Linked DNA regions of Drosophila melanogaster. The protein of the gene in region 2 interacts with the protein of the main gene of each other region in a pairwise test. Each region holds a gene or a part of one and is shown on either strand. Other genes may lie near its edges.

What was found.
Region 1: the proteins of Cpr11A (region 2) and STUB1 interact in a two-hybrid assay, tested with the Drosophila melanogaster proteins (one large-scale study listed by BioGRID).
Region 3: the proteins of Cpr11A (region 2) and MCPH1 interact in a two-hybrid assay, tested with the Drosophila melanogaster proteins (one large-scale study listed by BioGRID).
Region 4: the proteins of Cpr11A (region 2) and Mzt1 interact in a two-hybrid assay, tested with the Drosophila melanogaster proteins (one large-scale study listed by BioGRID).

What each region holds. Positions count from the first base shown.
Region 1 is NT_033779.5:10,433,736-10,441,173, reverse strand, and holds STUB1 (STIP1 homology and U-box containing protein 1), read right to left. Parts: upstream 3,627-7,438; 5' UTR 3,336-3,626; coding exon 3,213-3,335; intron 3,134-3,212; coding exon 2,935-3,133; intron 2,874-2,934; coding exon 2,732-2,873; intron 2,584-2,731; coding exon 2,478-2,583; intron 2,419-2,477; coding exon 2,362-2,418; intron 2,293-2,361; coding exon 2,050-2,292; 3' UTR 1,934-2,049; downstream 1-1,933. Other genes in the region: Nse4 (Non-SMC element 4), read right to left, coding at 548-613, 669-998, 1,062-1,229, 1,286-1,503, 1,555-1,645; holn1 (hole-in-one), read right to left, coding at 4,005-4,667, 4,733-4,925, 4,985-5,088; TBC1D16 (TBC1 domain family member 16), read left to right, coding at 5,837-7,321, 7,396-7,438.
Region 2 is NC_004354.4:12,483,318-12,491,906, reverse strand, and holds Cpr11A (cuticular protein 11A), read right to left. Parts: upstream 4,938-8,589; 5' UTR 4,826-4,937; coding exon 4,814-4,825; intron 4,081-4,813; coding exon 3,866-4,080; intron 3,591-3,865; coding exon 3,411-3,590; intron 3,266-3,410; coding exon 2,860-3,265; 3' UTR 2,459-2,859; downstream 1-2,458. Other genes in the region: Lsp1alpha (larval serum protein 1 alpha), read right to left, coding at 1-1,247, 1,315-1,524.
Region 3 is NT_033778.4:11,899,423-11,907,632, reverse strand, and holds the start of MCPH1 (microcephalin), read left to right. Parts: upstream 1-3,714; 5' UTR 3,715-3,859; coding exon 3,860-4,052; intron 4,053-4,094; exon of another isoform or gene 4,095-4,169; coding exon of another isoform or gene 4,170-4,221; coding exon 4,222-4,468; intron 4,469-4,792; coding exon 4,793-5,014; intron 5,015-5,082; coding exon 5,083-5,275; intron 5,276-6,238; exon of another isoform or gene 6,239-6,645; coding exon of another isoform or gene 6,646-7,671; exon of another isoform or gene 7,672-8,116; intron 8,117-8,210. Other genes in the region: reb (rebuf), read left to right, coding at 1,186-1,293, 1,367-1,524, 1,587-2,238, 2,355-2,727, 2,789-2,793; Zip48C (Zinc/iron regulated transporter-related protein 48C), read right to left, coding at 6,646-7,671.
Region 4 is NT_037436.4:2,384,766-2,391,306, reverse strand, and holds Mzt1 (mitotic spindle organizing protein 1), read right to left. Parts: upstream 2,043-6,541; 5' UTR 1,972-2,042; coding exon 1,723-1,971; 3' UTR 1,657-1,722; downstream 1-1,656. Other genes in the region: CG32298 (uncharacterized protein), read left to right, coding at 372-824, 884-1,033; CG32299 (uncharacterized protein), read left to right, coding at 1,122-1,406, 1,467-1,586; Svil (supervillin), read right to left, coding at 2,526-2,540.

The DNA.
Region 1 (7,438 bases), on a different chromosome or scaffold from region 2:
GCCGCTGTGCAACGGAAAGTGCACTAATTTCGAGCACAGGAGTGATTTTTTAATTAATGGACCAATCATTCATTCATTCATTATTCCACTCTGCAAAGTAATTTATTTGTTTAATTCTTGGTATGCCACCCATTGAGACCAGGAAAAACGGATTAAGAACATAATCCGAAACTGGTTAAAGTTATAAGTAAACAACTTAACTAATATTTAGTTCCTAAATATAACATACATACATTTTATATTGCTATAACTTCACAAGTGCCCCTTCTACATATTTCACAATTTGTAGGCGGTCATAAAAATTGACATAATGGCAGGGGCGGATTCGTAGTAAAATATTGGGGGAAGTGTTTGAACTATGAAGTAACTGCTTGAGTAATAAAATTCATTTAATGATTTTGTGTTGATATTACGTTAATTACTTAATGTTTGGGGGAAAGAACACTTTCAATTACCCGATTATTTATGCCGTACATGAGTAACTTTAAACGTTCTATGTGTTTTATTAATAACAATATAAACTATTAATATGAACTAAGTGATATATCTATTTCTCACTAACCGGAAGTCTTTTTAACATTGGCTCATGTAGGTTGTAGTGCTTTACCATTTTCTGTAATTTAAATCATATCAATTATAATGCTTTAAACAATAATTGAAATACGAACCTCACAAAAGGTAACATCGATGGAACAAATAGCCTGGGACGGTGCGTTTCCTTCGACCGATTTGGAATTCACAACGCGAACCAATGGCAAACCATCCTCGCCATTTTCGATGGAAATATAGTTCTCCTTGACAAGAAACGACAGTTGCAAAGCGTTCTGAACGGTGTCCATAAAATTGTTTGGATTGCAAATCAGTTTAAAGTACGGAATCGGCTCTTGATTGCCATCTCGATATATTTGTCTTATTTGCTTCAGCATGTGGGTTACGGACGCTGCTCCTTCGTCCTTGCGTTCCAATTGGTCACTCTTTTCTGGACGCTTCTCATCTACCTACAAGATCCATAATAATATGAACAAATATTACTGTGAGAAATTGTTTAACAAATGACTTACTTGAGATTTCGTTTTGCGAGGAGCACGTTGCTTTTGAACCACCACCTTTGGAGTAACATCTATGAAGGGCAGCATGCTATCATTGGTGAAGAGTGGTCTTCCGAACTGAATAGCCAATGAACAAAGAGCATCCCAATCTTCTTCGCTCTCTTTGAAAACCAAATCGTTCTGTAATAGGATCAAACATTACGATCAGGCATAAATAAAGTACACAGTGCACCTACGATCGCCGTGGCCACCATTCGATCCGTGACGTTGGTGTTATGTTGGATAGCTTTTCCCACAACTTCGAAATTGCGACGCAGTAGCTCCGTGTCCAGGACAAGTTCCGTGGAGTTTGTACGGCGGTCTTCATGTCCCTTGCTGATATCGTTGGCTGTCTGAATGATTTCCTCTATGGCCGTGATAGACTCTCCGATGGTGTTGTTTTCGATTTGTTGCTCTGCAATTCATATAGTTATTTCAGATATTAGTAATTTATGATTTAACTTACCTATCTCAATATTCTTTTCGATCAGATTTTGCAGACGCAGTATGCGAGCATCTTGGTCATCCATTTGCGATTGGCTTTCAGACGAATCCATATTATTGTTAAATAAATACTAAACAAAGAAGAGCGAAGTTAATCCAATTGTGAATTCACATAAACAAATTTCTTTGAAAATGATTTCTGCAAATCTGTAAGCAGCTGTATATCGATAATTTGTTTGGTCAAGATATCACCAACTTTTTGACTAACTGGAACGGGTGATCGAAACTATATTGTTTTCACACTACCGCTAACTCTCTATCGATATCGTGCAAAAGCTTTTTTATTTATATTTTGAACATTATGCTGTTTAATTTATTAATAATTACAATTTATCCATTTACAATATAAATCTCAATTGCAGATCCACATTTATTATCACTTATCTGGTTTTTAGACAATGGGAACTGGGTTCTAACATCTAATCAATTACAATGACAATGCCAACTAATAAGTAACTTAATAATCTAAAGACCATTCATTCTCGGCAATAAAAGAGTCAACCACTTCCTTCATTGAAAAATTTGGTATTAGTTGATCCTGAGTGAGCTTAACGCGTGTCACAGGATCGAAATGTCCAACCCGCTGCAAGTGTTCTTCTATATCTTTTCGTTCATACGTAATTCCAGATGGAGTTATCACAGGGTCTGTTAATATTTCAAAACTTATTTTGCCACATAGAAAATCGGGAACTTCACGTTTCTGTAATATGTAAATAACAATATTAGAACAATATTTTTAATATTGGTTATTTTTCCTTTAGTTTCTTACCTTTCGACGTTCGTCAACCTTAGAAAATATATTGTTAAGTTCCTTAATATGGTCATCCTAAAAAGTAAAATTAGATTGTCAACTCCGCTAAATATTCTGGTTAAAGTCCAACTTACGCATTCTTGCTCAATTTCCTGTTGCTTGTCTTTCAGCTGCTCATCGTGTACATTTCCATTCAGCTTTAAATTGGCCAAACGGCTTTCCATGTCCCCTTTTATTAGACTGAAACATAAATATTTAGGTTTTGCACAAATTTCGCTTTTTTTAATATATATTCTATCACATGAGGACAACAATTGCCTCGATATCGTCGTGCGGTGACTAAATTTAGTTTGCAAAAGGCATCTAGAGAATTCGAATAACATCTTACCCATTTAAATAGCTTTGCAGCTCGATTTCCTGCTGTATTCGCTTCTCCTCCATAACATTCCAGCGCTTTTTGCGAGCTAGTCGCAACTGTAGTGTAATATCATCCCCAAAGTTTTGCTTCTGCTCCTTGGACAGATCGTATGCTATAAGTTTCATATATGGTTAGTTAGTGTAGAGAACATCAAAGGTCAGGTATTATCTAACCCCGTTGAAGGTGCTTTATAGCCTCGTCAAAGTTGTCGATTTCCATGAGTCCTTGGCCCAGGAAGAAGTGACCCTTCAACAGATTCCCATCGATGTCGAGGGCGCGCCGACTATCCTGGCAGCACAGTTCCCATCTCTTCAGTTTCAGGTTGCAGAGGGCTCGGTTTGTGAAGTATGTGGCGTTTGTGGGGTTCTTTATCTACATATTATATGGAGCATAGTGCACATGTAAACAACAAAATACACATCACAATAACAAAAATATGTGAGACACCTACGATGGCCTTTGAGTAGCAATTTATTGCGTCGTCATATTTTCGGGCTGCAAACAAGCAGTTTCCCTGCTCCTTTAATTGCAGATCTGATAAATTGGTCGTGGAATAGATGTGCTTGGTCGTCATCCTGACGAATCTTCTGCGCCTGGTCCCAAATTTGATTTTCCACCGATGAAAAGTGAGTGTGTGTCCAACAACACCGAAGCACTCGTAAATTTGTTTCCTCTGCAAGAATTGGGGAACTGCTGCACGAACTTAACAGTTAACAAAGTATTAAGTGGGAAACGGTAGTGACTTTTGAACGCTCATAACACCAAAAAGATCTTGAGCTATTCGCCTGTATTTAATTAAACATAAAACAATTTTCAGCTACGTTAATCGATGTGTTTCTAGAGTTGCCAAGACTCACAAGCTTAAATTAAAGCTGCACATTCATCGATTGCACTATCACCGCCCAAACGATACTTTTGCCACACTATCGTTTGCACATTTCAAAAACAACAGTGCCATTTTCGAGTTTCTCGACTATCAGATATCTCTTACTGAACTAGTGGGTCTAATAGAAGAATCTTTCGCTATTCGTCACTAGCGCAAGTAACTCGGATACATAATTTGGTATATCTGACCAAATTTAAGAGCCGACAGAATCAATATGAATATGAATTTTATTTTAAGTCCAAACCAAGTGCAAACTAATTGAAACCTCTTGTAAAGTATACAGTATACAATTATAGAACAAAGTATTTGCAGAAAACATGTTAAAACCCAAAGAATTTAACATTTGTTAACTAAGGCCTACAAGTACAAATCGAAATCTATGCGGTTGCTTGTATAGAAATTTGTGTTTTCGCCGCACTTTCGCACATAGACTCCGTTTTTAAAGTAGTTCTCCTGGGACCATTTCAACATTTTCTCCGTGGAAAAGGGTCCCTGGATATCAGTCTCATCCTGCGACCATTTAAACTCCCAGGTCACCTCTGAGGTAGTCGTCGTTGGTTTGGAGCTATCACTCGACGATGTCTTAGAGCGCTCCAATTCTTTCGTTTCGAAATCATCTGCATACATATCAATATCATCGGCTACTTTAGGTTTGCTCGTTCCTGGCAAATCGGCGATCTTGGCCTTGATGCTTTCGTACGTATCCTGATATATATCCATATTGCCCGTCTTCGAGAGAATCTCGTTGGCCAGCTCGGTGAGCTGAGAGATTTCCTGTGTCTTTGGGTCAACGATGCCGGCCTTTTTCTGCTTAATCCTCTGAAGGGTTGTTAGGACGGGGCGCTGCTTACCCAGACGCTGCAGGGTCATCTTGACAGTCTCTCCCGGTTTCATAAACTCGACCATTTTCATGAGGTTCATGGACAAGTTAAAGGCCTTGCCCACGGGTTCGTTCTTCTCCTCATCGGAAGAGTTTTCTTCATCTTTTGCCGGGTCGAAGGCGTTCTTCTGTGTGCCAATCTGTTAGGCAAATATTGCTTTTAAATTAAATGATTGTGTACAGGCAGCAGTGATGGAATCCTTACTTTAACCCAGTCTATGTTGTCCAACCAATTGTCCTTTGCTTCCGTCTCCTTGTTCCAATGGTAGTGACCATCTTTGTCGAAGTGTCCCTCCTCCAGTTCTTCCTTCATATTGAAGGGTGTTACCTTCACATCGTCTTCCACTTTTGCCACGCCCTCCTCGCCGCCCTCAATGTCGCTATCATTGAGGTATTCCCTGCAAACAAAAAGTGCCGAAATCAAAACAATCAATTGTTTGCACATTTTAAGCATTACCTTTCGTAGTCGTCAGAATCCTCTTCATCGGAGTCAAGCGTGTGTTTCTTGAAGGATTCCTCTTTCACTTTCTGGGATGCTTGGTGCTTTCTTTTGCTCGCCATTTTATCAAGAACTCAAGACAAAACTAAATGCAATGTCAATATTTTTAAGCGACTATTGATTCTATTTACGTTAGTGAAGGTAAGTCTGATATCGATAGCTGGAACATATGCTGTTCCAATACCAATGTTCCTGTAGTTTCTAAAATTTATTTAAATTATATTTAATTAATGTATATATAATATGTTTTGTATTCCATTTGATATATAGTATGATTATGTGAAGAAAGCTTATAGAAATAGACTTAGATTTGATTGATTTGCAAGCTGAATAAGAAGATATTAATATACACCTACTCGCATTTAATATATTATCATTGTTATTAAAAATATACCTTTTCATTGCAGTTTGAATTAATAAATCCTCAACATTTTTAAAGTATTAAATATCGAAACCAGTCTTAAAACCATCGACTGTTAACTGCGCCTGCGCTGAGTTTTCGCGTAAATTCTTTTCCTCCAATGTCATCCTGCTTGTGAGAGGTCCCTAGAATCAAAAGTTAATAGTTTTTTTTTTCACCAATCCGCTGTGTTACAATTAATTGTCGAATCAAAGGTTTAGCCAACCAATTCCTAAAATTATGGTAACCAGCGACCGCCATAATCAAACAAAAATCCGCCAAACCAGAAGCTAACCAGAGAAAAAAGTTCCCCATCCGCCCACTAGTAAATCCGTTAGGATAACTCCGGGAAGGAAACCTATAATTCACCATATAGTAGTTACCCGCTCAAGGATATCAAATTCGAGACCATGCCCATAGGAAGCATTATCAAAAAGGCTTCTAGTTTCATACTGGGCGACGAGAGATTGGACAGAAAAATCGATATTGCTTACGAAGACAACGAAATCCTCTTCTGCAAGAATAACGTCTGCATCCATCCGCCCACAATCGCCCGCGATGAGTCGGATATACTGCACAATCCGGGCTATTTGACCTGCACGACAAAGACCTTTGTAGATCAGTATAATAGCGCCAAGAGGCCCACGCTTCTGCTCACCTGGATACCGAACTCGTCGCTATGCAAGTATACCAATCTGAATGCCGACGATTGCCGGGGTCAGTGTAATCCGAGGAGCAAGTCGCCGGACTCTCGAAACGGCTACTGCCACGTGACCATACCGCAGACGATCCAGGAGAGGGACATTCGGGAGGAGGATGAGAACGCGGCGGATATGCAGGAGCTAAAGAACGAACTGCAACCGCTGCTGGGTGGCCAAGCTGCATCCATAGACGACTTGACCGCTCTGCTGAAGAATAACCCCATCACGTCGGTGAACATAACGATCTCCAATCCGCAGATCGAGAACAGCAATATATCGCAGTCCTTCAACTGCATCACCATCCGGCCGGATAGTAACAATTGCTCCGATTGCACGAATGGTTCTGGAGTAGGCGATGGCCCGGCAACCGATAACCCAAAGTGGACAACACCTGAACTGCTGGCCTTCAAGCACAACCTGGAGTTCCCGGATAGCGGCAATTCGACGCCAGCCGATCGCCAAAAATCCGCGATGAAGTGCCGCCATTTCTCCGTTGACCTAAGCCAAATGCGATCTCTGCGCCTTTTCTTCAATGACGACAACTGCACTTCGGGTCAGCTGGTGATCGCGTCGCGGGAGTCGCAGTACAAGATTCTACATTTCCATTACGGTGGCTTGGATCACCTGGCCCAGGTGCTGCACCAGTGGCACTGCTTTCTGCACAACATCACATCGGAAACGGGCCAGGATAAATTCGATTTGCCGTACAGGCACTTCATGGTCTGTCGGCCGGAGGTTAAGAAATCGGAAATGCATCCGGACGAGGGCGATGTCAAGAAGATAACAACGAACTTTTTCTACGGCACGCTGCTCAATGAGAAGGGACAGATCGAGGACGACTTGCTGCTCCGGAAATGTGTCTTCTTTGGTGGCTTGGAAAAGAGTCTGCGAAAGACGGTGTGGCCATTCCTTCTAAAGTGCTACTCATTCTCCTCGACATTCGAGGATCGCGCAGTGCTCATGGACATCAAGCGGCAGGAGTACGAGGAAATTACGCGAAAGCGCCTGTACTCGATGTCCCCAGAACAGCAAATTCACTTCTGGAAGACCGTGCAGATTGTGGTGGAGAAGGATGTGGTTCGCACGGATCGCACCAATCCGTTCTTCTGCGGCGACGATAATCCCAATACCGAGGTCATGAAAAACATTTTGCTTAACTTTGCCGTATACAACACCGGAATGTCCTATTCCCAGGTGGGTCCTAGATCCAGTTAATGGTTAGCTCGCTTCTTCAAATTGTCCTTAATATTTTGGTTTATAACCCACAGGGTATGAGTGATCTCCTTGCGCCTGTCCTGTGCGAAGTTCAAA
Region 2 (8,589 bases):
GCGAAGTACATATGGGCCAGCATGTACCAGAATTGGAAGAAAATGTTGTCAATGGCATCCACATTGCCCTGCAGCATATTACCGATGATCTCAATGGACTCCGGTTTGCGCAGATCGATCATATGACCATCGGTCGTCTGGTAGTAGCCCAATTCGACGATGTTCTGGATGCGTTGCTGGAAGCCGGTGATCTTGTCCAGCATCTCAAAGTTGCCGTACGTCTCCAGTTCATAGTAGTTCTTGCGATAGCTGTAGCCAATGCCGTTGTAGTAGATCAATTGTGGATCGTAGCCCATCTCGATCTGGTGGAACCAGGAGAACTGAGGAATCTCGCCCAGGCCATGGGACAAACGCTCCATGTGGTATCGGCTGAGTAGCTGGTGCACATTGTACAGCCACCATTCACCGCGACGATCGTTCTGCAGGCCAAAAGTCTTGCCGTCCAGGAAGAAGGAGTAGTCCATGTTCAAGTAGTACCAGTAGCTGTTCCATCCCAGATCCTCGGTGAAGTAGGACAGCTTGGACTCCTCGTTGTAGAGGTACAGATCGCGGCTATAGTCCACCGGCATGTAGAACTTCTTCACGTCCTTCATCATCGTCAGCCAGTTGCTTTCCTGGTTGTACTCGTAGATGTTCTCGCGCAGTATGTAGTTGCTCTCACTGTACCAGTGCTCGCCCAGACCCATCAGCTTCCACCACTGCCATGTCTTGAAGTCCTTCATGTACATGTAGTCGCTGGTCTGGTACATGCTGCCAAATTCGTGTTCATATGTCTGTCCATGTCCGTGTGTCTTACCGTATCCGTATGCCATTCCTTGTTTGTATCCATGTTCGTATGAGGAGAAAGTTGGAATCTTGTGGTACACATCCATATACTCCTTTTCGTACAGGCTAGTCTTCATCCACATCTCATAGTCGAATTTCTCGGCCTCCATCACAAATTTGCTGTTGAAGAAGAACTGCGGGAAGATCTCATGGATGGCGGGCAGAACGAGTCCATGGAAATCATCGCGATGGATCACGGCCAGGGTCAGGGCATAGACGAACATGCCCTCGTTGAAGTGCATACGAGCGAAGGCCACATTGGTCATGAAAGTCTCCCAGTCCTTGGCGTAGTAGAAGAAGTTGAAGAGTCCACGTGCCTGCTTGGCATGGTGCTTAACCAGGGCGCCAAAGAACTCGCCCTTGGGCAGCAAAGCGTGTGCCTTGTGGGCCTCGAAGAACTTCTCCATGTACAGATCGAAGTGCTGCGAAGAATTGAAGGTGCATTTTGTGGTACTGACCACTCGGAATCCGCTTTCTTCTCCCACTTACCGTGTAGTGCTCCTTGTCGAAATAGAACTGCTTTCCCATCGCAATGTACTCTTCGAACATCAGCGGATCCTCCACGCGGTAGACGATCTCGAAGAGGAACTTCTGCTTCATCAGGAACGCCTTGTCAGCGACCTTGATGTCGTGGGTCTTGTGGTAAGCGGTCGCAGTGACCACGGCCACACAAGCCAGGAATGCGATGGCAAACTTCATCCTGGAAACTCCTTCTTTTGTTCGAAACACTCAACTTTAACTGCTCCGGATCGGATGCACTTGATGGATCCAATGCCTAAAGACTGTTGCCTTACCGACGCCCACGGGTCTGCTTATATAGCCACAGATTCCCGCGGTAATCGGAAATAACATATCTGTGACGACGGGATCAGGGATCATCGGGTGTATCTCAGGTGCTCGCCACGAACATCTGTTGCTACTGCACCGCAACAGCTTATCTCTGGACAGCCTACGTTGGTCCCTACATATCGAGTCCAGATTTGCATTCCAAAAATAGCGTTAGATTCGGTTCTTTGTCTGCAATTTCTGCACAAGTTTCAATCGCTTTGAATTTTAATTATTTATATGTATATAATATAGAGATATTACCAATCATATACATATTACGAACTAAAGTTAAGCATTGGCAGGCATTATTTTGAGAAAAGTGTGTACAACGTGGCGTATGAGCAATGTCATAACTTTGACCATTTGGCTACCACTCTATTCCGTTTTTAAAAAAGTTTTAAATTCCATATACATAACGAATTTATCAAGCAAACTTGTCTGCTGCTAAGAGCCTTAACTAGAAGTCATTAAATATCGCTTTAATTTATATATTTATATGTAGATGCAGATGAATTTCATACGTTTGTTGCATGCTTTTAGGCATTCGAACAAAATCATAATCTGTAATAATAGATTCTGTATCTAAGTTGGAAAATTGTATATGCCATGCTTATAAAACAGTAAACAAACTATTCATTTTCAGTTAATAAAACTTAACTTTATTCTGAAACAACGAATTTTTTTTTGTAACGATGCTGAATAAAATTTCAACAATTGCTTGCAATAACATTTTATTACAAAGCCAAAATATATATATAAATATCCCCATCCATATTATTCCTCAATTAAAACACATTAAAACTTTGATCGTTAGTTTAGCCATTTTATTTACTACTAATATCACTCAGTGTATATACATAGATTCGTTTGTGTCTTTGCTCGGGATTTGTGTGTGTGTTTGTTTTTTTTGTGTGTGTGTGTGCGTGTTTTTGTGTAGGCTAGATATATAACATATATCAGTGTATAATATCATATAAAATTGTGCTCCGTGTATAACACTAAAAAATGATAAAAAAAAATTTCGCTAGCTCTGTTTTACTCTTCATTTGCCTGTTGGAGTTGCACTTAAAAACTAAATACTTGCAGCTGGGGGGAAAATCGAGGATCGGGAATCGGGAATCGGGAATCAGGAATCGGGAATCGGGTGGGGCATAAATCTTGCGGGAGAAGGGTGTTGGATAAGGGTATATCTAAATAATAATCGCCTTATGCGGTGGGCAGATACAGACGAGATGGCGTCGCCAGGGGCACCTGAGGTGGCTGATAATCGTAGCCATTGCCGTTGCCATTTCCGTATCCGTTTCCAACTCCATTTCCATTTCCGTATGCGTTTCCAGCTCCATTTCCTTGTCCGTTTCCAACTCCATTTCCGTATCCGTTGCCAACTCCATTTCCGTATCCGTTTCCAACTCCATTACCGTAAGCATTGCCATTTCCATAGGGAGACGTGTAGCTATAGTCATCGCCACTCTGTCCACTGCCCCTCAGAGGACCTTGCGATCCTTGATCGGAGTCCAGGGTCTGCTGCAGGAACTGGAAACGGTTCTTGTTGCCCAACAGGCTGCTGGGATCCACGGTCTGGCGCTGTCCGGCAGAAGCCAAAGGCTGGGGTCTAAAATATATAAATATAAAATAAGTTTTTTATATTCATTATATCATTTGCAATAATAGTGTATGAAACTTCTGATTTGTACGCAAATGTGCTAGTTTGAAGAAGTTCTTAAACGTTTTTTTTGTAAAGTGTATTGGTTACTCACTCGGGAATGTCCAGATCCAGCTCGGTGATGGGATGATAGCCGAACTCATCGGCGGTGTAACGGGTCTTGTACCGCTTGCCATCGGCGCCGGTGAACGAGTAGGAGCCGCTGACCACGAAGGTCTTGTCGTCCTTCAGTTTGCCCACGCTGCTCACTTCGATGCCGTTCTGGGTCTTCAGTCTGAAAAAAAAGTTCATTTTAACTTTAGTAATGCTTCGTAAATTATTTAAAAAAATATATCAAATTACTTGATGCTTTGTAAATTATTTAAAAAAATATATCAAATTACTTGAATTTATTTGCTATGCATCAAAAGTTATTACAGATCTATAAACCTATGTTAAAGTAGTTTTCTTTTAGACTGCGATTCAACTTCATATATAAATATATAATTATGTTTTAATTTAGCCAAACACTATCACTTTATGAACTATATAGGTACCATAGATACTCACTCCAGCTTGAATTTCTTGCCCGAGTTGTAGTTCTGGAGGGTTTCGGTCTTGGCCTTCATGACATCGCCGCTAAAGTGCACCGCCGGCTTGTCGTCATCGATGTCCTCGGGCAGGGTGTAGATATCGCTGGGATTGTACTTGAAGAGGTCCAGATTGCGATCTGTCAGATGCTTGACATCGGCAGCGGCCAGAGCAGCGAAACCCAGAAGGATCAGCTAAAAGATAGAATGCCTGGTTAGTGCCACTTGTCACACGATGCATTAGTCATATCTGTGGATCACAGTCGTTACGATTTATTTTTTTCGCATTCGGATTTGGATACGGATTTTGATTTGGATTTGAATTGGGATTCGTATTTTGCATTTCGCATTAACGGGCAATTAATCAAAGTCGCGCGCGAATCGCTGGCGTTTCTGACCGCACAGCGTCGCTTTGTCTCGCAATTCTCTCGTTTATTTATTTTTTTTTTCGTTTTTTTTTTAGTCTTTTTAATTTTTTTTATCTATATTTGCTGTGATTTATTTGATTTGGTTTCGGGCCGAGGCACTAATCATAATGGGTTCCAACCGTTTCGATATTTGTCATTCGTCTGTTTTGACGTCGATGAGCTATGCGGCTGCTCAAGGTGATATTCAAACACTTTAGGTTTCGGACTTTCCTTAAAGTGTGGGTCATTAGTTCTTTAATTTGGCATACTAATTCTTAGGTAAAGCTTAAAAAAAACTAAAAAGCAGCCTCGCAGGAACTTCGGTTAAATTGATTTTAATGTGTATCTTTTGTTTGAGATTCAAAATAAGCTTTAAAGTCATTTCTGTGGCTTAAAAGTATTCACACTTTTGAAGGACATTTTTTGCGCGCACTTTCACTTGATCCTTTTTTTTATTGAGACACCACAAAAAAAAAAATAACTCATTAAATATATACTTTTCAGTACTTTCGGGCACTTACAAAACTCTTCATTTTTATGTGTGTTTTTTTTTTCGTAACGAGGACTAATTTATGTTTTTTTTTTTTTATTGTAGCGGCTCGGTTAGTTCCGATGCTCACAGATTCTAGCAAATAAATACAAACGATGCGACTTCTTGTTTCCTTATATATGGTATTATCAGCGACGCCGGCAGCGAAGTCGACAGAAATAGGAACCGGACAACGAACTGAGCCTCTGTCGGCGTCGCAGCCGCTTAGAATCAAAAAAAGCCAAAGTTTGTCAACGCTGAAATCGGTATGGTATATATGCATATATATATATATATATATATGTGTGTGTATGTGTGTGAGGAAGGGGATTAGCCCAGATGAGGGGCATCATCCATCGGTGAATCTTCAGCATCCAGAAGATGTAACATTTTACGGGTCTTCTGGACAATTCTCCCTTCTCGGTATCTCCGTTGCTGACGGAGACTGATCGCAGATCGAAAAGCATAGAAATCTGGTTTTCGTGGCAACAAAATTAGAAAACCGCCATCATCAAATTAGCATACACGTTTAATGATGATTCTCTTCCCTGAGTGTGTGTGTGTGTGTGTGGTGTGTGTGTCTGTGTGAGTGTGTGCATGTGCGTAAATTTAAATCTGCGTTAATTTTTTATAAAGCATGGAATATATATATATATATATATATACTAACTATATATATACTATACTAACTTGGGCGACCAGTTTATTTTAGCGGACACCCAAGTTCCAAGTTCCGAAAGTGCCGCTGAATGGAACCCGCAAATCTTTCATCCGTTTCTTCAGCGGAAAGAGGCGATGATGATTCTTCACCACTGATAAGATGCCCCATTCTCATTCTTCGGTTTCATATGCTAATATGCATATCAGTCAGCCTTCGCTTAATTAGCCGTTTCGTTTTCGGTCTTATCAAAATTTATCAAATGCGATTCTTCTGGCGGATCAGTGTCTGTCTTGGTGTCTTCGGTGCTTGGTGTCTTGGGATCTTCTTAAGAGATCGTGAGATCTTGGGCTCAAAAATGCCATTTAACCATTTCGGACCGCACAGGGTCATCGGATTTTCGCTTTCGGTAGCTTTTCAGCGTTTTGTATTTCCATCATTTGCATAGTTATTGGTTACACTAATGGCTCCATTTATGAAACTCTTTGTTTGGTCTTCTAAATCTTCCGAATTTACTTGTAAATTGCATTATTGTTATTTGATTGATGGTTCATGTTTGTATTGGGTTCTCAGAGCGCTTGCCTTGAATTCTAGTTATCTTAAGATAGTTATTCATATTCCATTTTTAAGGCCCCATAAAAATGTAATGTTCAAAATTTACCTTTTTTTAAACTAGTTCTCGATTAATTAATATTTATTTCCTTTTTGCCAATTTTAGAGCTCTAAAAGTAAACAGTTTATACAAATCCTGATATATGACAATATGGCTTATCAAACTGTTTTGAAAAATACAATGACACACATATACACCCAAAATTCAAGGTATAACGAAAATATTGTATATTTTAAAATGTTAATATTATAGACATATTCTTTCGATTTTCTGTTTGCTAAACCTGGCTTGCATTTGAACATATATATATCTATTATTTTTGAACTATTTTTTGGCCAACTTATAGATATTATACATTTATTCCTGGATTGGCGGGTTTTGCAAACATATTTTGATTGAACACTGCATTTATGGCTGTCAGCAATCAAGTCTATCACATTTTGTCTACCCAACGCGTGGATGAGATTGAAATCAAACCGGACCGGACACGCAGCTCTAATGATAATCGCTAATGGTGCTTCTAATTTAAGTTTTATGCTTAATAACTTAAACGAATGCCGCACGGCATTCATTTTTCATTCGAAAAGAAGTATCTCTTTTTTTTTTGGCCATTTAATTCTTCTTCTGGTTGGTTGTTTGATCTTCTTGGCCTAATGAAAACGTTTTGGCCATTTCAGCGACTTGTCAAATGTGTGATGGCTGTTAGTTAGTTAGTTCGTCTGGCTCAACCAACTGAGTTCGCCTTGGAAATTAACCTGGTGTTTCTGATGTTTGATGTCTGCTATTTCGTCCGTGTCTTTGATATCAAATCGCATTTGTTATGCATACTTGCACACGCCCCAGAGTCTTGTCTTTTGATCTGTGAGTCGATCTTGATGGCTCACTTAGAGACCAGGTCCAAGCAAACGAGTTAACAAAAAGTCAGCCCAAAAGGGAGTGTCCGTCCAATCGAACTGACTTATCATCTCGATCTATCACCCCATTAATTGTCATCGCCTTAATTCCAAGTAAAAGGCTGCAGCTGCCGTATTAATTACCATGCGATTAACGTGAATTTTTAGCTATAGATTCGGCTTTACATTTGCCATTTGCATATGTGCCGCACAGAAAAGAAAAGAAAGTGTTTCATTTTTGTATCTAATTTTTATTGCGATCTTTCGTGATTTCTTTGGCAAATTAACAGATCGAACAACTTGTTACGCAGCCCCCAGTTCCCTCGTTTCGCCGAACGCTTTGAATTTTGCCGATTTTCGGAATTGTGCCCCATTATCTGGGGTATTATGAATTTTGAACGAATTTTGAGAAGTATTTTCCATTCGATATCAATCCAAAAACAAGACAAATTATGTCATTTGCATTGAATTATTATAGCCTTAGCAAGTAAGAACTTTTTAAAGTGTTCGCTATTGTTTGAATATATTTCAACATTATTAGCTTTATGTTGTTTAACGCATTGTTTACGAAACTAGTGAATAAATAAAATTAAGAAATATATATATATATGAACATACGTAGAGCATTCAAATCTTCGTTGGGTCGTAAAATACCCATCTCTCTGTTTATTTTTTTCCCGTCAACGCTTAGCCAAAACAATAAAGAAAGAGCTGAAAAAAAAACGAATATAAAATAAATAAATAAATTAGCAATTATAAGGAGACAGAAACGAGATTTCTAAGAAACCAAAACATTTAGTTATGTACCATTCGTTTCCAATCCATTCGATTCGTTTCGATTCGAAACGATTCTTTTTCTTGCCCTTGAGCAATTTTGAGGTATGGATGATGTAAAAGTTATGTAAAACCAAAACCAAGATACGATTAGGAAAACACGCACTGAAATCAGTGCCTAAAATTGACCAGCATGACGAAGAGTCATTAAGTTAGACAACGAGTAAATATGTTTACGAGACAGATTGGCTCCACTAATTCTTAAAAACTGTGGGAATTTTTTACGAGCTGCCCAAACCACCAACTTTCATGGAAGCTTGTCATGAAGTAAATTAAATAAAACAAAGGTTAATTCAATTAGAAACTTTTATACAAATATTTCATTGATAAAAATGTTTGCGGTGTTGTGTGTTTTTTGTATGCAATTGATATGAGGAACTTATGGTTATATTTCGATTTCATAGGCACTTGTGTTTTTAAATTAATTCAGATTTATTAATGAATAGAGTTATGCATATAAGGCTCTGTTACCATTTCCAATTCATGTTTCTGTTCCAATCTCTCAATGTATAATTCGCACAATTTATTGGCCAAATTAAGCCGTATCTATCAGTGCATCTAATATTCTATTGATATGCAGATCGCATTGTGAACCTCTCCTTATAGACAGTTCCATAAATCTGGGCAGCTCCATTTCGGAGCAACCCATCACCCAAGCAATCTGATCGGATCTGCCTACATCTCTCTCTCTCTCTCTCTCTCTCTCTCTCTCTCTCTCCAGCGAACTGGTTCGTTCGATGCCGTCCGTTAATCCAACTGATTTGCATTGA
Region 3 (8,210 bases), on a different chromosome or scaffold from region 2:
CCCTAAATTTCTCATAGATTTCTCACTGGCAAAAAGTGTCAAAATCGTCGGGCCGTGGGCGTGTCTACCAAAATATTATTCGCCATTAATCTTAGCGTTTGCCAAAACGAAAACCAGTTATAATTTGAAATTTCTTCTAACCAAAACGGATCTTCGAGCAAAAAGTTTTTGGAGACAGCGAAGTGCGTGACACTTATCAGGTTTTATGGCCATTCTGTTCGTTAATTAAAGAACCAACGCCAACGCTTGCCCAAATAGAAAGCCCAAGTCGGCGGCTTCAATGGATCGAAATCCATGTTTGTGAATGCTCGATGGGAAACTCGCTCGTTGGCTATTAAAGCGCACAGACTGCAGTTCTGGGTAATTTGAAAAACATTTAAATTGGGGCACGAAAGGGATTGGGTTGTCGTGGAAAATGCAGGGCATGTAGTGCCCTTAATTCGATCACGCTTAGAAATGTCACATATTTTTGGATTGGGAATGGGAAGCTATGTTCCACAAGACCAAGACAGACTCACTTTCATTGCCACTGGCCGCGGGAATATGTGACACTCATTTATTGGTAAATCGCATTTGGCCCGCAATTAATGCCAATCACGTGGCTGACCGCCAATCCACCTGACAGTATGTGCCACTACTGGATTTTGTCACAAAACGCTGACGGCAGTGCGATGCATAAGCAAATCACACTGACTTTGAAGGAAAACCCCAAATGGCCAATTGAAATGCCAGGCCAGTTGGCCTGACCCGAACACAACAAACCAAAAAAAAAGCAATATCAACAACAACAACAATATAAATGCAAAAATGCGAGTAGTGTTCGACAAAGTGTTTAACACCAAACAATTGTCAAGGCATCGCCGTCGTTCAATTAGAGGCGGTGACATTGGTGATTCGATGGATCGACCCAAGGAGCGAGCTATCTAACAAAAAAAATCCAAGCCCAAAAACACCCATTGTTGCCATCCGTGCGCAGAGTTCATTGGCTTGCAGATTGATTGGACTGATTGCCTAATAATCTTTTCAGTGCGTGTCCCATTCGACGGGGATTTAATTTCGACTGCTAGCCAGATCCAATCAAAGTCATTCGCACCCGCAGGTTAATTGTCTCATAATTATTTATAATAATTTCGGAAAATGTTCTACCGTTGCAGAGGAAACGAATCAAGCGATCAGACCGACAAGATGATTTCTCGCCGCAAGATCATATCGCGCTCCCTAGACAATTTGGATGCCATCGGGCAGGAAGAGCAGGAGGAAGACGTCTGGCACGATCGCGAAAAGCTCTTCAGGGTGCGTTTCCTGTCCATTATAACTCATTTGATCTCTAGCTCATCCATTATCCATACCTATTGACACCACGCAGGATCACATCAACGAGGTTCTGTCCAAGTGGGAGCAAATCGACGACGAGATCTGGGCCAAGATAATTGTCTTCGAGAAAAATCGGCGAGTGGCCAAGGCCTACGCCCGCTCCTCTGTGATAACCATAAATGGATCTAAGAATGGATTCGATGGAGTGCGGTGAGTTTGAACTTAATATTTGACTATTAAGAACAACTTATTTAATATGGCTAAATCCACAGTATTGGGCTGAATGGCTTCGATAATCCGATGCGCGATGCGGAGACGAAGGTGATCAAAAAGTCCATCGGCGATGGATTCAAGATCAAAATGGACGACACCGGCAACATATTCATCAAGCGGTATGGCAAGAGCAGCATCTACGTGAACAGCACATCGCAGGGCAACGAGGAGACGGTGATCGGTGGCGACATAATCCAAATGCCGCAGATGTCCCTCACCGCGGCCACCTCCGCTCGACTCTTTGATATGAAGAAGTTCCAGACGAACATAAACCGCGAGTTTGCCCGCACTTATCCGGAGCGCGGAAGACTGGAACGGCAGTGCCTGTCCGCCGTATCGCTTGTCAAGTCGAACAACAATCTTATCAACTCTCCGGTCTGGATACTCGTGGTCAACGTGGTGGCCATGGACATGCTGAGGAGCCGCCTCCAAACGATTCCCAAGTCACTGGATGCGATGGGCATGCGAGTGCCGCTGACGAACAGCAGCGAGGATCCATACTCCACCATCGAAAGCCAAGTGGGATTGATCTATCCTACGCCCGCCGCGTCGGATGATTCCCAGAACTCCCAGCACTCGAGCAACTCCAGCAAGGGACGGCGCAGCATCTTTAGTGCCGCCTTCCTCAACGAGGGTCCATATGTGCCCAAGGTGGGTTCTAACCTAGATTACATTCTACCTGAAAAATTTGGGACTTCAAACCTTTTAACCTGTTTGGGAAAAAAAACTTAGCCTAATAATTCTTATTTGCTTTTTACACTTTGCAGCCCGACTACGAATCTGGCGGATCTTTGACGCCCATATATGCGGACAAGAAGCGACAGAAGAGCAGCGGGTCGCAGCAGCGGAAGAAGCAGGATGATCCGTACTACTGCGGACTCTTGGCGCGTATTCCCAACTTCATCAAGTCCTCGAAGCAGCCGTGCCCTGGAGGAGCCAGCAAGCCCAAGAAGGAGCCAAAGATCTCGCGGAAGATCTCGGCACAGCACCAGCAACAGCAGTTCCTGCAGCCGGCGCAACCCATTCCCATTGCCACATTCCACCACTCGTACTTCCCCTACAAACTGTATCCACCGCAGCACCGTCTCTCCCAGTCGCAAATGTCCCTCTGGGATGCACGTAGTCTGATCAGCGCACATGGTAAGTGACCACTTAATTTGTTAAGTGTATCTCAGTTAATCAGAACATTTCGCCATTTCAGAATGATCACTTTGGCTGGCCCTAATTTATTCATCGTCTAGCGTTAATTCTAAAATTATTTAGTCAAAGCCTACGATTAAGTTTGGTCAGTGAAGGATCATCGATTCACTGGATCACTGTGGAGTGCATTTCGCTCAGTTTTGTGATAAATGCAGCGAAATGCAGCCATTTAGCGTACGTCACTTAATACGCACTAACTCTAATTAACCGCAGTTAACTTTAAGTCAAGCAGAGAGATTTAATGATTATGCAATTTGTAATGAGTAATTAAAATTTTGCCATAGTTTCTTAAATCGTTTAAGACTGAGAGAATGTCCTAGAGCCCACGATAAGCGCACGGAGAGTTTGGCTGAGATTCAGGATGGGGGCAGATAATGTCATATGCAAATTAATTGCTACTTTAGGCAAGTTCAATTTATTATTTTCTTATTATTTTTCTGTACATACACTTCATATGTAAATAAGATCAAATTAAAAACATGTAATCGATATTAGTACGCATTAAAAAAGAGTTATGAAAGTCAATATAAGTGTTTTACTTTAAACGGGTTACAATCTACGCTGCTGAAACTGAATAATAAAGGTATTTTGTATAATTGTGTGTAGTTTGATTTTCATTTACGAGAACATTTAAACATATCTATATCTATATATATTTTCCGACATTTTTGCATTTACTAATTGTGTTTAAATATCGGAACTTAAAATTTATTAAACTGCTTTGCCTCTTTCTAAGATAAACATTGGTGGTGAAAAGTAAACCTGCGCTATCACAAGATTTTTTGTCTCCTAAATTAAATACATAATAAAATGCCGCCAAATTCGTCATCGAACTAAAATCTTAATGTACTAAACGGAGACCATATAAAAACAATCGATTTTCGGTGAGAACGATAACCGATTGCCAGTGAGTGATCTTGTAGCATTGAGGTTACCCGGTCACACTATCACATTGTGTTGCACTTTTTGTGAGGTTTGGATTAGAAAATTATTGGCGCCTCTTTTGCAGAGTTTTGCGACCGACTTCATTGCAATAAGGAGCGCCAGAGTGCGGAGAACATAGCCCGTGACCATGGACAAGTTTCTGTTGCGCAATCCCACGTGGAAGACGAAGACGTACGGATCGGTCGTGGCCAGTTCCGCCGCAGCTGCCAAGAAAACAGCGGCGTCATCGACCCGCCGACCGTTGCACGATTCAAATCTGGGCGACTTCAGGTCCAAAGCAGCGGCACCGTCTCCCAAATCTCTATCCCAGGCCCCGGCAGGTTGGCTGTGCATGCCTATTTTACATTTTGAACACCCAACCCAGTAGTTTTAGTTCCGGATACGTAGCTCACCCAAAATTCGTAGTATTCAAAAAAAAAAAAAAAAAACAGATTACCATGTCGACAAACGAACCGAGCATTACTAACAAGTTGCGTTCCCTCCTGCTAGATGACCAGGCGGCCAGGGATCGGCTGATGCTCAAGCCGGCATTAGCCGTCTCCAAAGCGATCAGCCAGCACCGCTCCGAGTTCCACCAGGACGAGAACGAGGCGGGAGCAGAAGGATCTGCAGCAAAACCAGATCCACCCATCGGAGCAGCCACGCCAACCAGGCAGGAAGGACACTGGGCCCGACTGCAGCAAGATCTCAACAGCCCCAACGCTGCACTCCGATTACGCGCCATTCGTGCATTAAAGTAAGGACAAAAATTGGTTATTGCAATTGTTATTTATACAACCTAAAGGTCAACTAGTGAAAACAGCTCAGATTCTTGACTAATCCATCCTTTTATAGCCATTTTATCGCTAATTTTGTAAAGTTAGATTCTTTAGATGCAATCCCTAATAATTCCATATCCATCAATAACTATTATATTAACAAGCCAGGTTTTTTTGCCAAAACCAAGTATTGATTATTATTATTATTAATTATTGTTTTGCAATGCAATCTAATCTGATTTGAGAAGAAACTGATCATAATAAAAAAAATGCATTCGCTTTTACATTGTATACATTTTTAGAAGCCCCACCAAGTCGGCATACAATACCTTCGATGTGCCTTTAGCCGAACAAAGCATCATCACGATGGAAGAACGCAATCCCCAGGAGCCGCCCTCCCTCCCCGAGTTGCTCAAGGACATAGTCGTATATGTGGAGGTGCGAACTGGAAACGACAATCGCTCTGAGGGCGTAAAATCAATTATTGCCAAGATGGGAGCCCAGGTCAAAGATCGCCTAACGCGGTAAGCTAAGGGATTACAATTGATTGACTAAAATATATTCAATTAAACATTTTTCGTTTGGCTTGTAGAACCACCACACACGTTGTCTTCAAGGATGGCCTGCTCTCCACCTATAAAAAGGCCACCGAGTGGAATATACCAGTCGTTTCCATTCTGTGGATTGAAGCTTGCAAGGTGCAGCTGAAAATATGCGATCCCAAGCAATTTCCAATCAGCAATATACGCATGTACGAGTATCCCGAGCTCTTTGGCAAAATGCCGGTAAGTTATTACTAATTGTGGCTTCTGTTGCATCATCGATCTTATTTATATATTCAAATGGGGATAAATGGGGCTTAAGAAGATAACTTTTAATTGTCACCATTCGGCTTTATAATTTAGCTTGCCTTCTCATAATACTAAGCTCACTGCAAAATACCCAATAACACATTGCAAAAATAGGCTTGTATGTACGTAGATATTAAAAGTTGACTTATCAAGGTCTTCATACAACTTTTAATATTCTTATCATATCATTATTTGTTAGGCCTAACAACTTCCCAAAAGCTTTATCAGATCTAAGACGACAATGTACTTTCGAGTTCATCAACTCTGCATTACATTTTGGTTGGAAATGGCAGCTTTAACTTACACTTCGATTACAAAAGAAATAGGTCTTTAATTAGTCTAATCGTTGACACTATCAATTTATGGCATTGCGGACACAGAAGCATTAACTCCACTTGAGATATGCCCCCAACTAATAGGCCATTCATACCGAGTTTATGGTTTTATGGCGCACATAAAGAACTATATGGAAATTGTACAACAGATAGCCGGCAAGAGGTCTTATCGACCACTTTTCCTGATGACCACGATCACAGTGGGTGGACTGTGGCCCAAAGCACTTGTGCGAGTACAAACATACATATCTGAAATGATTAGTTAATCCAGAAAATGGCGAACAGAAACGCAGGACCGCGGGCCGTCTGAAACTGCACGTATCTCAAACACGGAATACGCGCAATATTGGGAACTCTTCGTGTCGGACAGATTCTTATCACTTATCACTGGCTGACAGCGAGTCAACCAGCTGTTGTTGTTGTTGGCACTCCGGGTTATCTAAGTGAATTTACTTGCCCTTATCAGCTATCGTACGGCCAAAGAAACGGTCAGGAAGTTGTCCGGACGGAGACAGCTACATTTGTGAGGGAAAAAAGCGAGTGGGTGCAACTGAGAGATGTTCATTTGAATTCGTTTAGTTTATTACTTAGACATTAGACGGTTAAAAAAGACACAAGCTACTGGACGCCGGTGACAACTTAAAACCTAATTCACATGCACGTTTGTTTACAAATTTTCCTAGAACAGTTCATTTACATAACTCGCTGGGAATGCTGTACAGATACGTGTGCACAGATACACAATTGCACGGATGTCGTCGCGGCATCGCTGGTTGTCAAGCTTCTTTCTACAAAACTTACACTCTACGCTAGATTATTAGATTCTCGTTTAGGGCTGGTTCTGAGATTTGTACACAGCATGCTTCTATTTACAAGACAGCAGAGTTTTGCGTTAAGTACAGTGGAATCTTTGAGTTTAGCACTAGATTATGAAATCTGCGAGGCGGGCGAAGGCGAGCCGTTCGTTCCTCACGACAGCGCCACCTCCAGACACATCATGATCAGGAAGCCGGATACAGTGCCCCACGTGGCGATCGTTCCATTTCCGCTGGCATGAGCCTCCGGCAGAATGTCGTCCGACACAATGTATATCATGGCTCCGGCCGCAAAAGACAAGGCGTATGGCAGGATCAGGTTGGCAAAGGTCACCGCCACGGCGCCCAGAACTCCAAAAATGGGCTCCACCATTCCGGACAGCTGTCCGTACCACAGAGCCCGCTTCACGCTGAATCCTGCGGCATGCAGTGGCAAGCTGACAGCCAATCCCTCGGGGAAGTTTTGAATGCCAATGCCAATGGCCAAATTGCGGGCGCTCTCAAATGTCGATGAGTTCGTGGAGCCAATGGCACCAAAGCTTACGCCCACAGCCAGCCCTTCTGGAATGTTGTGGACCGTGATGGCCACGACCAAAAGCATAATCCTCTTCCACTGGGACAGGGCGTCCTCGGCGCGCTGCTGCTCCTCAGGCGTGGTGTAGGTGCACTGCTCCATCTCGTTGATGCTAGCTCCCTTCTTTCGGCGTCTCGATTCGCCGCTGTGCTGCACGCTAAGGCAGTCGGAGAAGCTGTCCAGACTCTTTGAGGCCAACCTATCGGGGGCAACTCCATTGCGCTTAGAGTCCTCGATGGCTATGTCCGCCTTGGCTTTTGATTGCGTCATCTGGATCATCATGTTGGTGCTGTTAAGGCCCAGGTATGACATCAATTTGTCGCATCCGTAGACGAAGATCGATCCCAAGAGGAAGCCTCCAGCGACGGGCAGAAAGGCGTATACTCCGTACAAATGGGAACTCTCGGCCATTTCGATGGCCGGCTTGAGGAGTGACCAAAAGGAGGCTGCTATCATTACGCCAGCTGCGAATCCCAGGGCGGCGTCCAGAGACCTCCGCTGGTTACCCCGGACGAAGATCACTAGGGCGGCGCCAGCGGCGGTCAGTCCCCAGGTAAGCAGGGTGCCCAGCAGAGCCTGCGTGACGGGTCCATAGCCTGGAATCATCTTGCACAGTTAGAGCTGCTTTTCCGTGCCCGTCACCGGCTGGTATGGAATTGTACTCCCGAGATTTATTCGCGTGTACACAGACAGGGCGAACAAGTTTTCTTAATTGTTGCGCAGCAATTGTTTACCCGCCCACAGTTGGAAATGTGCCACGTTCTTGGGCACTGATTGCTGGGTAAACAAAACAACTGAGAACCAATTTCAATGGAGTTTTAGATTCTGTGTATGTTTCAAGGGAATCTCTGGAACACTTGTTGCTGCTTATCGTATTGTTTTTGCGGAATGCTATTGCGTTTCGGGCGGCGGGGCAATTTCGGGGGGACGCGTAATACTGACGGGTTGATAAAAAGGTCTACTAGCTCTACTAGAGCGCGTCGGAAAGTGATGAATGAGCCGCTGACTGAGCTGACAGCCCCACAAAAAGCAATTTTTATAGGGCCGCTGGCTGTGTGCCACGGCAATCGATAGTAGTGTTATCGCTGGCGTCTATCGATAGACGGCGGCCGCTAGGGATGGCACTCGCAAGGCGCATTTATTCA
Region 4 (6,541 bases), on a different chromosome or scaffold from region 2:
TGCATGAACCGCTGCACCAACTGACCCACTTCGGCACCACACTGTACACCATACACCATATAGACTATACTCGTACTCGTACTATAGAACCCCAATCTTGGGCACCCGCAGTCCGGCAATAATGAAGCTTGTTCTGCGGCTTCTGTGGGCCCCCAAAATAAAAAGACAGAAAATAGAAAAATGAATAGGGTAAATTAGTTTAAAACAAATGTAAGCCCGCATGAACGAACGAGTTAAGGCGATAATTTATGCAATTGCCTCGAGTCTTTGAACTTTTCAAACGAAACCAAAAACCCAGCAAGCTATTCTTGTTTGCTTTGGCACCTTTGGGAAAATTGAAAATTAATAGTCAAAAAGTTCAGCTTTTCAGCATGGATTCGCTGCTCCAGAAGATCTCAGAGCTGTTTCATAACTTTACTTCCCCCATTGCAGCGGTGGTATACAGTCCTAAGAATGTAGAGAATGCACAAGAAACCCAAACCACTGCAAACCAAATACCAGAAGCTTCGAGCCAGGAAACTGGGAAGCCGGACTCTGATCGAACTGCACCTGATACCACTGAACCCCTAACCTCTGGTGATATTCCAACCCCAGATGTCAAGTTGCAAAAGTTTAGGGAACAAACGGCTCCAGCTTTAAACTACGAGCTAGAGTTTGTTGACTTCGTAGATCGCAACGCACCTCAGGGTCTATCGAAGAAGATAATTGATATATTGCCCTATCTGGAGGTCAGCTTTTTGTCCTGGCCAGCGTTTTGGATTTGGCGCGGCTACAACTGGCAGTCCGCACGAAAAACGGAGAGAATCGCATTTTACATTCAAAGGGTTTGAAATATAGCAGTCTACCCCGTGCAGTCTAACCTATTGAAAACTATTCATTTCAGACCTATCAACAGGCCAAGCTAATGCAGTTGGCTATCTTAGCCACTGGTCTGTTCACGATATCAATGGGTCGACCTGCCGGCATACCAATAGAAATGCATACAGTGCACAATAATCAGGAAGAAACAGCTGACATCGGAGACTCCTCTTAGTTCAGGTAAGCCTTGATATATGTTTCTGTCCAAACTTTACACACACACACAATACACAACTTTCGGTCGAAAATTAAACCTTTCCAAGATGGGCATCCAAAATTATTACGGCAATCTGAAGGAGAAGTTCTCGACGAGGCTTAAGCGAAAGGAGGAGGAACCAGCCAAGGCAATAGCCCACCCACCTCGGATGCATAATCTTGGCGAGGAGATACGTTTACTGGTGCATTCGCAATCCTTTGAAAAGGCCTACAGTACTGCAGCACCATTTCTTTTCGCCAGTTTGGGGGCGTGGCCGGGCTATTGGCTGTTCAGAGGAATGGATTACCATGTTCATCGATCGCACATTCCATTGCCCATCTATATAAGACAGGTGAGTCGTTTGTTGCTTCGGTTTGCTATAAGCTTTTATCTAAACACATTATCATCTTAGACCTACTATCAAGCCAAAGTGGTGCAACTTTTCATTATCATGGCCGGCACATATACCGTTTTCAGAAACGCCAGTCGCTTGCGTTTGATGAATGCAAATAGAGTGGCGAAGTCTTCTTGAAAGCCTTCAAAAATCATGCAATTGGATGTCCAAGAACCAGCGTCTTACAAATTTCGGAAACAGACCATCGGAAAGTTGAACTTTTAATTTAACAAACACAAAATATAAACACAAAAATATATTTTATATTCATTTCCTACAAAGTTGAGTCTGTTGATGCAGCCGATTCTCCGGAATCATCACTTTCCTTATCTTCATCATCTTGAATCTCCTCTCTAATGGTTCGAATTACATGTGCTAGTGCTCCACCACAGACACCATTGTCCACCAGTTCGATGCAGATTTTAAGGGCTTCCTTGCTGAGACCAGAGTCCACTACATCCGATAAGGTTTGCAGGATAGTGAAGCGATCGTCGGATTTATGTTGTGTCGGTTGTTCTGACATACTTATTCCACAAATTTTGATATAAACTCGGAATAAATCTCTAAATAATTTAGGGCAATGCTGACAGATAACTCAAAAGCAATCGATTGAATGTATATCATTTACAAATGATTAATGGTTATGTCAAAATATTTGAGTTCCCTTCATAATCTCAGGCCTGCACATTTGTTCTGCTAACCCGAACCCCGATGCCTAACCGTAATCCATTACCAGCTGTAAATCGTAACACCGTTTCAAGTTCAAAGTTCAGTAATGAGGCACCTGCTCCAGTGAACCCCCCCCCATTTGCTCGACATCCGATCTGCCCGCTGCCAAGTGGAAAGATAAATTAGCTACAAATTAAACAAATTATATACGCCAGAGATGCGTGCCTCTCACAGTCATTTCAAACGGAGGGGAGAATTGTAAATGCTGAAAATCTCAGCTGGCGGACAATTAAAAAACGCTTAAATGAAGATCTTTTTCAGTCGGCAAGTGCAGTGCCGCCAGCATGTGATAAGTAAGAGCAAACACTTAATCGTGAGAGGGGGATCCATTGTATCGCTTGGCCTCACCTGTATGAGATACATTTTCCGCTTTTTTTTTCGACGCTCCACGCAACGAATGCTAATTATGCAGCATCTGATGTTGTGATGATGAAGTGGTTACTGTCTTGCTCTACTTGGAATGCAGCCTCACTTTGTATATATGTTTTATGGGTCTGGTGCAATTGCGATCAATTGGAAACCGAAAAGAAGACAATCTCGGGATTTTTTCACTTAATGAAAATCAATTGAAAAACGTTTTCGCTGCGAAAATGTAGAACTTCACTTGGTAGCGAAGCAATTTGCAGCTTTAACTGAGGCGTTCAAACTAAAACAGTTGGCCGTGTCTTATTGTACAGTTTTATATAGTCGGGCTATATAAACGCAATTAGTCAGCAGCACGTAAACACAAACTTAATGCTTGTCTTGTGGTAGTTATTATTCGACCGATCGAAGGGGGTAGTACATAAACTTTTCAGAGGGTGTTTCCCAGCTTAACACACTTTGCTTGCTATGGCAATAGGTTTGCAAATGCCTTTACAAGGTGTTCACACCGCACAAAATCGATCAAACAAATAATTTCAAACACGATTGGCCAGCTCAATGTATGGGAACTTGAGCGGTCTATTGGTATTTCGAGGTTTCTCTTCGCTGTTTGTTTATACTTTATTTATTTACACAAATATGTACAGTTCGTGGATTTAGGTTTAGTGCGTGGTTTAGTGCATATTTTAGTGTATTTATCATTTGAATATTATTTTAAATTATTATTCGTTAACGCGTTTGAATGACCATCGTGTCTGTGAGTTGAGCGCGAACTGAATTGAAATTCCGCTGGGCTGTAGCTGCAAAGCAGCTTGTGGATTGTATCTTATGGATTCCATGCAACCTCATCATGAGGTTCGCTTCGAACATGTTTGGAAATATCTTTGATAACCAACGGATCAAACAGGTTGCGGACGATTGGGAATGTTCGAATATGTTCCCAAGATTCCCCGGGGCTGCACTTGAAATCGCTTCGACATTTCTTGATGTCACAACTTCGGAATTTGGATTATTCTGGGGATGGAGGCGCCCACTAGGAATTTAGTTAATTTGTTGATTATTCCGAGCACCATGGATGGGGCAGAAATTGGGCTTAATGAATGCTAAATGGTTTTAATGGGTGAAAAGACTAAGGGATGAATAGCATGGGGCGAACATACGTGAGTTGGTCATGGGATAGAAGTGGATCATTCGTACTTTTATGATAGTAAATAAAACTAAATATATAGTGTCAGGCACCCTTTGGAAAACCAAGATTGGCTAGCCAAACCTAAAACCTCATAACTATTCATCTCTCCACACCCAGGCGCATATCTCAGCTTGTGGAACGCATTGCAACAGGTTCGCTGGGCATTAAAAATAAAAGCTGCAGAAATCCGTAAGGCGAAACAAAAACGAGACCATAATAATAATTAATACCAATCGGCCGAGAAACCCACCGAACTCCGCCAAAGGAGAGAAGTGCGTAAGTGAAATGAAGAAAAACAGGAAATTTTTCGCAGCAAAAGTTGCGAAATATTTCATAACCTGCCAGCGAGAGATGACAAAACTGCAGATGGATCTGCATGAAGAAATTTCACTCAAATATCATGGCGAAAGGAGTGTGGTGTCTTGGCCAATAATCGTTCACCCTTGAAATCGGCTTGAAAAGCAGCATTCAATTTGCAAAAAAAATGAAAATGAAAAGGAAACTTGCGGCCAATTTCATTGGCCATGCCCGCCCGATTCTCTGGCATCTTGTGGCACAAATGTGTGGCACCGTGATAAATGCACCGAATAAGACGGGAGAAATAAAATCAAAATGAGCTAAGACAAAAAACCTGCAATCAGCAAACGAAAGTGAAACAAAAGCGTCGACGAGCGAGCAAGAGAGACAGGGAAAAGACATTGGGAACGCTCAGCGAAAAACTTGCAATTTCCATTTTAAATACGCAACAACTTTCGGCTAGAGGCAGGCAGCCACAGCCACAAGGAGTCCACCTCGTTGTACTCCCCGCCCCTCATGCAGCTGCTCAAAAAACCATAAAGGAAGGGGCGGGAGGCAATGGAACTTAGGACCAGATCCAGACTTACACTTAGAGAAAGTGGCACGAATAAGTGTAGTAAATTCAAATATCTTAGTTATTAAGAACGAGCTACATAATAATATACATATTTCCAAAGATTTTACTATGTAACACATCGTTTTTTGCGTGTATCCATGAACACAGAAACGACTTGGGCCGCAAACTCCTTGACTCGGCGATTTGTTGTCTGTGGATCGTCTGGCTCTTGATTGGAGCTGCCCTCCAGGAAGCGGACGAGGAGGAGCAGGAGCAGGAGCAGGCGAGGTAGAAGGAGCTTGTGAAGCCGTAGGAGTCTGGGCGGATTGGCGCTCTTTTGTTGGGTATGTCATCAGCATAAATTTCGCCTCGCATTCATCATAATTTTCATGCATTTAATTTGTATCATAAATTGTCTGCTTTAGACTCCTAGAGTCTGACACTGAGATTGCAAAGGGCCATAAATGCTGAGTTATGAAATCTTCAATTAGTTCTGAGGGTCGGCAGAGCTTTGCTTATGCCAAGTTCCCAGCAAGTTCAACGAACGACTGGCATTTTCACTTTCACTTAAAGCAGCAGGGAAATGGGAAATGGGAAATGCAGGTTCAATGGTCACGCACTTGGCAAAACAGCAGCCGCAGCAGCAGCAACATAAGCTAATTGACATCCCTAGCCGGTGTCTGATTACCCAGCAGATTTTGCAAATGAGCCGGACAAACATTGGTACAAACAATCCCATACACTTGAGATACAACGAAATGCATTCGCCAGATACAAAGGTACTGCGATGCAAAGATACAAAGACACAAATTCACTCGACGCACGTTTGAATGCTGTGCAACACGACGATCAATAAACAACAAAAGACTGGCAGACTGTCTGGGCCGAGATGGCCGGGATGGGATCGTTGTTGGTCAGGTTAAAGATCGTTAGGCGCGACAAGGGGTCAGGTAGCAGTGGTGGTGAAGGAGATATGTTCGTATGATGGCCACGATAATCAAGGAGTGGAGTGTATCTCCGTTCAGTTCATTTTCCACTTATTTCGCTAGCCGCCTGACCAAATGAGCCAATAACTTCATTGGTGAGCATAATTATGGGCTGCATTGATTGGAAAATCCATTATGCGCCTCGCTTTTCAGACTGCACATGCTAATGGCTCCCTTTTTACGAGCCACTTCCTCGCAGGAACCGGGGATTACGCAACTCCTCCCCCGGGGGGGAAGTCCTAAGTAAACAAATCAACTCCGTTTTTTATTGACTTACGCAATGATTTCCTTTAACTGCCTATGGCCCAAAAACGATAGCAGTAAAACTTACCTGCGCGGAAAGGAAGAGCACAGACAGATGGCATTAGTCATATGTATACGAGGTGTACATGATATGCGTGGAAATGATTAAGCAATTTCCGTTGACATGCCATTTTCCAAATGGACCAGCCGAGAGTGAGAGTGCGGCGATAGCGAAATATATACGTATCTGCAACTGCAATCGCTCATAAATCAAGTTTGCTCCATCGAGACTTACGTTCATTCGGTTTATGGCGACAGATTTTGTGGCCAACCAAATGCAGTTAATGGTCAGGAATGTGGCGAAATGTGGCGAAAGGGAACTGCCGATATAATAGAGAGTTTCGGTTTCGTGCCGTATTTGACTGGTGTTTAAGCGAAATGATTAGGAAACCCGCTCACTAACAATTTTGCTCTAGATACTTGGGTAATTATACAATAGTAATCAGTAGTATACATAAATTGGATGGTAATACCCTTAAGATAATATACTCGAATATAAGTAGTGTAAGGATCGTTTCCTATATGCCCATTCAATATATATGTTATAATAGTAATACCTTAATTTCCCACGCCAATTATCCCTGATCTAACCATGCAGCTTCCTTGATGCAATTCGCCTTCATTTTCCCACACCTTTCTGATGTCTCAACTGGTAGTTCTCGAGGAAAAC